Linked DNA regions of Tribolium castaneum. The protein of the gene in region 1 purifies or fractionates together with the protein of each later gene. This does not show direct contact. Links are inferred from orthologs where the notes say so. Each region holds a gene or a part of one and is shown on either strand. Other genes may lie near its edges.

Evidence for each region. Proteins that work in one complex are often made in the same cells at the same time.
Region 2: the proteins of protein AATF (region 1) and neuroguidin purify together in Homo sapiens (affinity purification with mass spectrometry; 3 studies listed by BioGRID and IntAct, with this or other methods). This does not show direct contact. The link is inferred for Tribolium castaneum from reciprocal best matches to the Homo sapiens genes AATF and NGDN.

The regions. Positions count from the first base shown.
Region 1 is NC_087396.1:16,779,539-16,783,084, reverse strand, and holds protein AATF, read left to right. Parts: upstream 1-1,487; coding exon 1,488-1,749; intron 1,750-1,803; coding exon 1,804-1,935; intron 1,936-1,991; coding exon 1,992-3,028; 3' UTR 3,029-3,046; downstream 3,047-3,546. Other genes in the region: uncharacterized protein Jasper, read left to right, coding at 1-221, 270-365, 416-429; U11/U12 small nuclear ribonucleoprotein 35 kDa protein, read right to left, coding at 524-1,102, 1,149-1,154. UniProt on the Homo sapiens protein: Part of the small subunit (SSU) processome, first precursor of the small eukaryotic ribosomal subunit.
Region 2 is NC_087398.1:5,108,969-5,113,109, forward strand, and holds neuroguidin, read right to left. Parts: upstream 2,664-4,141; 5' UTR 2,525-2,663; coding exon 2,516-2,524; intron 2,244-2,515; coding exon 1,733-2,243; intron 1,681-1,732; coding exon 1,310-1,680; 3' UTR 504-1,309; downstream 1-503. Other genes in the region: uncharacterized protein LOC103313152, read left to right, coding at 1-111, 158-275, 321-503. UniProt on the Homo sapiens protein: Part of the small subunit (SSU) processome, first precursor of the small eukaryotic ribosomal subunit.

The DNA.
Region 1 (3,546 bases):
AGAGTGGAATTTACCACCTGAGGAGCTTGAAACTTTCAACAACGACGCACAGAAAGTACGGACAAAGGCAGATGAGATTTATAAGAAATTCAAATCGGTTTGTAAATTACCGGCGGGGTCTGTTAACTTTTGGGACGGTTTCAATGACATTGTTAGGAAATTTAGGGAGGATTGCATCCATTTGAATAATAGGGAAGTTTTTGTTTTGTGTGCCGAGCCATGTAAGTTTGTTTTATTTAGAAATTTTCTTAGTTGTAATAAAATTACAGATTCGCGTCAAGCTATTATTGACCGACTTGAGCAGGAAGAAGAATTACAAGAGGCTGATATTCACCGTCCGGTTGATAGTGAAATTGAGAAAGTTGGTAAGGCATTAAGTGAATCATAGGATATTCAAATAACTCGCTTGTTCTAGCAGACGTTCAGTAGTGTTGCAAGTAATACATAAAGAAGAGTTTTTTAGTTTATTATTATTTTTTTTTTGTTAAAATATGTATGTTTAAACACTTTTCAATATAAAACATTATTTACGATCACGTCTACTTTCACTCCTGTCTCTCCTACTCCTTTCCCGCCTCTCTTTTATCTCCAAACTGATGGGTTTTTTGAAGGGTCGATCACGGCCACCGAACCGCAACTGTCCGGACTCCTTTTTCCCACCAAAGCCGCCTCCAAGTCGTCTCGGTCGCCACCCCTTTAATAACCTCTCACATTCAAAATCTACGAAAATTATGTTTCCATCAATATTCATTTTATTCGCTTTACAATACGCTTCCTCAGCGTCGAGCTCATTTTCGTATTCGATGAAAGCGTAGCCTTTGGGCATCCCTGTGACTATGTCTTTAACTAAACGAAATCGGCGCAAAGGGCCATATTTGGAAAAAATGTCCTTAATTGTGTCTTTTGTGGTTTTGAGACTAAGACGGCTGACGAAAATTGTGCACTCGGGACGGCCTTTAACGTGGCGGTTGGGGTGGTATTCGGAATTTAGGGCTCGGACGATGCCTTTGTCGTGGGGCTCCGTGTCGGTGCCGTCGATGGAACCAATTTTTATCGGGTCGTAATATTTGGCAAAACGGGACCATGAAGTGTCCGAAGAGTCCTAAATTATTTAAATAGAAATGAAATAAAGTTTGTTTATAACTTACGCTCATCGTCTTGTTTGAAAAAAATTAGGTTAAACAACTGTCACCTGTCAGAACCTTGCCATATGTGTCCGCATGAGTGTCTGGTCGAAATATTCAATTTTTTTTTAACAATAGTTTATTTTTACTTTGTACATGTACAAATTTCAAAATTGCAGCTAACGTAATGCCATCACTTGTTTGTGATAAGCTACGATTAGTTATTTTGTGTGTGGATCGCATAATTTTGGTTTCGAACTTAATAGCTTTCATGTGCCTTAGAAAAGAGTGTAGTGACGGAATCGTGACAGAATAATATAACCTCCAAATATAAAAACGTGTCTGGTTTTAATTTCTCCTAAAATGAAAAAGAAATCGACTGGAACTTTAGCTGATAAGATAGCAGGTATTTTGAATACCGCCCCTTCGAGTATTGACCCTGAAGATGAGGTTGATGACGCCACGGTTGCAAAAGTTGTGGAAGACGATGTTGAAGAAAACGAACAAGAAGATGAAATTTTGAGCAAATTTCGTCAAAAAAACATTGACCTGTTAGCTGATTTAGATGAGAAGTATGCCGGAAAAAAGACCAGTCGGAAGAATTTGAGGGATTCCGATTCAGAGGGTTTGTTACAAATGTTTGGTTTTAAAATTCTTGTGCTCAAAAGTTACTTTACAGACGCATCGCTGGGAAGTTTGGACGATAAGGAAGAAGAAGAAGAAGAAACTGAAACAAAAGGCAGTGCGAGCGAGAGCGAGGACGTGGAAGAAGAATCGTCTCAAGAAGACTCTGAAGGTCCAGAATCAAATGGTCTGCTTGGTTTCTTTTTTTTTGGCAGGACAAACGTTAAAATTTTATTTTTGCAGAAGATTTATCAGAAGATGATGGGGAGTTGTCGGAAAATGATAACACTGAAGAGAATTTCAAACACATTTCGGACACGAATGTTTCAAAACAAATTAAAAAAGGGCTTTGTGTGAGAAACCAAATGGCAATGTGGGAAAACCTCCTAGAAGTACGAATCCAACTCCAAAAATGTCTCTTGACTGCCAATAAAATGCCACAACCCGAGAAGTTTAAAGAAATCAAACAATCTGATCCCGATTTTTCCAATAAAGTTAATGAGACAAAAAACAAATTATGTGATGTCTTAGATAAACTACTATTGTTACAAAAATTGCTGTATAAACAGTATCCTGAAACAAAAAATTTGGATCAGACAAGCGCTCAAAGTGAAAAAGTTGAAGATCCTGATGATGAAGAAATTCCAAGTGATACAGATGTTGAAGAATCAGGCGGCGAAGAAGAAATTGTAAGCGATACTCCCAAGAAGAAACGAAAATTAGAATATTACGAAAGCGAAATTTTCGAAAAACACAAAAAATACAAAGATTACAGAAACAACATCATACAGAAATGGAACGACAAAACGCGCGTTGTGGTCAAAGGGGGCACCACTTCGCACTCAGTTCTAGACCAGATTGAATACAATTTGAGTAACAAAGATAAGCTTATCAAGAAAACGCAACTCAAGCGTTCCCAGTACTCCATCCTAGGTGAAGAAGAAACAGAAGATAGAAACAGTGAGGAGTACAATAGCGAGATTTTTGATGACGACGATTTCTACCATCAGCTTTTGCGCGAACTAATTGAAGTCAAGTCAGCCGACGTCAGCGATCCAGTGCAGTTAAGTCGCCAGTGGATTCAGTTACAGAATCTAAGGAGCAAAATGAAGCGAAAAATCGACACAAGAGCTACAAAGGGACGCAAAATACGATATGCTGTACACAGCAAACTGGTTAATTTTATGGCGCCCATTGATGGGAATTTATGGACAGATGACGCGAAAAATGAGTTGTATAGCTCGCTCTTTGGCAAAAATAAAACTGCATCTAATTTATAAAATAAATTGTTTTATAAATCCTTGTTTTTATTGAGTCATTACTCATTATCCCCCTTACATAAAGAGATTTTTTATAAAAAACACAACCTCCGACTCATTGTTTTGAAATAATTCTTATATTATAATGGGTGCAAGCTTGATAATAGCATTATACGCAGTCGTTGCACACTGCCTTTGTTCTTCGCTTTCGTAGTTCCACCTTTTACTTTAAAAATAATTGTTGGAATTTACCTTTTAAATTAACATAATTTTATAACTATAACATATGAGGTTTTTTTTTGTGTCTCATCCGTCATGTATTTCTTTTTCCTGCTCGTATTTGAAATTTTACATATGTCGCTCCCACTGAAGTTTGCAAATAGTTTGACTGATACAAAGCTCCTATAAAGGAAAAGTCACTTCCCTGATTCTGTTGATAAATTTTGAAAAAAAATCTAAAATTGGGGCAGTGTCCCGCACGTTAAAATGGAATGGCTAATAAGCTGCTTTTTCTTTTATTTCAAAAATTTATGAGACGA
Region 2 (4,141 bases), on another chromosome or scaffold:
AAACGATGATAACTCGTTCAGGACCACGACCGGGGACATGTTACAACAAGTCTTCATCAAAGACAGAATTTATCGGACCAAAAGAATGAAGAGTTTTTACACTTTCAACGAGTATTGATGAATTCATATTGGGGCACTTTTTACGGGTTTTTTGCAGAAATGCCGAATGTTTGACGGAATATCCGGAAAGTCAGTGTCGCACGATATGTGCTGATGAATATTTGACCACCATGCAGCACAGTTATCAAGTGCCGCGTCCGTATGTTATGCAAAGGGTAATTTTATGGGGGGAAAAAACTAGTCTTGATTACGAGTTGTAGCTGGCTTTTCCGAAAATTCCGTTTATGCGGAATCAGAAATATCGCCACGAACCGCCCGATCTTAGCAGTGAAAAATTCTACGGTGATAGTTTTGGGCGAGAAACTTGCGAATTGCAGAAATATAAGGGTTTTCGCACAGCTTCTTACAATCCGATGACTGGGGAAAACACAAACTCTCAATAAGAAAAAAATATATATTAAAAAAATTCATGTCTACAAATAAAGAATGTATAATGAAACTGATTAAAGCCATAAACTTATAACCTATGACGATACATTATTAATAAATTTTTGAGCTGAGAATTTTTGTCACTTTCAGTAGCATACCTAAATATTCTACGAAATACGAGTACACCAAAGGACATGAGCTACTGAATACATTTTTATATCTAGTTAATAACATATCACTACAACTAAAACACAAGACGAGACGTAAAAAACCCACCTGAACTGTGGCAATGTAGCAAACCTAACAAAATAAAAAGCCAACAATAAAAAAATGTTTAACAACGTGAAAACTAACCGAAAACTGCAATTGTCTTAATATTTCAACAACCGATAATCCAGTCTGAAAAATAAACTGTGGTTAACGTTAACAACGATAAATATAACCTGTACAAGGCAATCGGGAACGTACTCAAAACGCAGTCCCACCCGAGACAATTTTACGAGAACCTACGTCCAAGTACAAAAATTAATTCACTGTTCCATTACAGTCTGTAACGTGAGAATGTAGCGCAACAGTTTGATAACATCATGTAAAAATACTTTCAGTCTATATTATGACGTCTATAACGAACTCAGTTTGAAAAACATCCAAAGTGCATGCCAAAATCCTAGTACACGAAAAACAAAGAACACAACCATTAACCCTAATCTAGACAATTTTGAATTTGACAATGAGAAAACGTTTGAAAATCATAAGGTCACCATAGGCAACTGGGGTTTCAAGCTCTTGATTTAATGATCGGTCGGGACGACCCAACTAATCAATGGAATCGTTTCCGTTTGAAACTCTTCCCTTTTGATTTGATCGGACGTTTCCTTTTCCTTTTGCCGGCGGAGCTGGGGGAGGGGCCAAAGTCGGTGATTTCGTCACCGAGACTGCCCAGAGTGGTCAGCTGACGGCGTTTGTGCTTCTCTGATTTGCTGACGGGGAGGCGAGTCATGTACTCCTCCTCGTACTCCTCCTTCTCCTTCTGCTGCTTGGACAGGATTTGCTGAGCGCGGCTGGTCTGAGACACCTCGATTGGCGCATCCAGATACTCCTCCCGCAAGTCTTGCATTATGGAAGAGGACAACATGTGCTTCTTCGTGCGTTCTTGCAACCTTTTAGTGCGCTCTTGTGCCGTTTCGTCACCTATTTGTCGCAAAATCATTAACTGAATCAAGATTTTTAATCAAGTAATTACCCATATAGTGAACTGCGGATAGTTTTGGAGGTACATAGATGTCGCTTTTGCCCTTTTCTCCCGTGTTTTTTTCTAATTCTTCCTCACTTTCCGAATGGTCAATGAGATTGTCAGGGTTTGCCCTAAACGTGGTCGGGTCGTTGGCGTTGGTTCCCGTAACGGCAGTCTTGACGAGTTTATCAATCTGGTACTTGAGCTTGTGATCAATGGGCCTGATTTTCTCAAGTACAGTCCTGATTTCGATTAATCTATCAATACACGGGTCCCCTTCAATTTTTTCCCCTGAACATTTCCGCAAGACCACGAAAGTCAAGTTGATCAAATAACTCAACAACATGTTGTACTTCATTTCTAGAAAGCTAAGACCCTGATCTGTTGATAATTCTCCCTTCCGCACCTTCTGAATCATGTTATCAACCAACGAGGCGACGTGTTGTGCACTCACATTCATTTCATTTAGCAAAACTAACGCCTGGGGAAAATCCCGGTGCCCGATACTAACATCCGGTGCCTAAAACCCAAAACCATGCAAAAATCATTTATTTTGTTTAAATTCTAGGTTAGAAAAGTCCCGCGTTTCCGTCCCGAAAGCCGGAAAAATTTTCTCGCGAATTATGAATTTTCATCGAGATGAAAAATGGGCTCCATTTGCATAAAAATCTGTTCGCCATCTTTTATATCAAAAGCTTGACAGAAAAAATCGAGGGTAGTTTTTACGCCGAAAAAGCGCGCTTTTCGACACGTTTTCACCACTTTTTGTTACGGAAAACACTCGATACGTACCTGAACCATTTTGATCCGTCGATTTCGTAACTTAAAAATACATAACAACGCGTAAATTTTGTAAAAATAAGCTCAGCACGTGCACAACTTTTATATTGAAGGGAGCTTTTTTGATCAACGATATCGGAAGGGTGGGGGTACGGCTTGTGACCAGGGTTGTGACGTAGATATTGAAACGTCGTTCTACAGTATAACGACGCGTAGTTTTTGCACATTTTCTACGTCATCAATCCAAATAAATTACCGAAAAATTACACTATTTTTTACGTCAAAATTTGGTAGCATTTATTTGTTCTCAAGAAGAGAAAAATGAATCAAAAATGTTCTATTACTAAATACATATCATTATTAATTAAGTAAGTTCTTTTACCATCAGAAATTGTAGTCAGTAAACAGTAAAACAAGACAATTTTCTATTATTTTCTTTATTTGGCAAAACAGATTAGTAATAAACAAAAAATAAAATCTATTCTCAAAAAAAAAATAAATAAAGTCTATTCTCAAAAAAACAAAATAAAGTCTATTCTCAAAAAACAAAATAAAAGAATTAATCTCGAGGAAAAAAACACAACCAATGTTTCTTTTTTAACTGACTTCGTTACTTTCCCGCATCTTCAGGGAGTAATAACAATGCATTATTTTTCTCGAATGATCAGCATCCAAACGATTTCTCAAATCATTGTGAATAAATGCCCAATTACTAAACACACGCTCCAAGGAAGCTGAGCTGGCTGGTATATTGATAAGTTTTAAAGCTACACTAGCCAACTCTGGGTGCTTTCTCTCGGCCAATCCCCAAAAAACTTTTGGGCAACAAATGTTTTTACGTTCTAAGGTTTCAAAAATATCTTCCGAAGAACAAAATTGGTGAAAACTCATTAAACCTTCTGCACTTAAAGTAGCTACCAAATAGTCATGGACCATATCAACCTGGGTTTGATTCAAAGACCTTCCTCTATAAAGAGGATGAAGAAAATTTGATGTTAAAGAGTAAATATTTAGCGCCATGTCTCTTCTTCTTTTCAAAACATCTTCAAACTCCGCAGGCAGTTGTAAATGAGTCCATTTCTCACAAGCATCGGCAATAGTGCAGCTGCTAGACTGACACTCATTAATTAATTTGCAAACCGGGTTAGATACTTCAATTGTTGTTTTAACTTCATCGATGAACTCATCGTCAAATAGTAACTGAATTATTTCTTGTTTAAGTTTTATAGTTTCTTCTGCCGCAAGTTTTTTCATAAATTTTAAATTTTTGATCAAGCAAGAAAATGAGTCTCTATAGGTACACCACCGAGTATCGACAGCTAATTTTATCTTTGATCCTCCCTGACTTTGCAGCTCCTTTTCGAGATTAGGATGTTTAAATTCTTTTAAGATAGTGATTACTTTGGAACATAATTCTTTGGAAATTAAGTCTTTGGCAAGAAGATTTCCTGTGTGACTATTGCAAGTAGTATGCATTAAATCACTCGTCAATTTTCCCATTTTCAACATGTTTGCTGCATTATCGCTAACGACAGCATAAATTTCAGTCTTAAACTTTGTCTTCGCTAGTTCAACAGATAGATTACACAATTCACTTAGCTTTTCTCCCGTCTCTGGTGTTGTTGTTACATCATATGC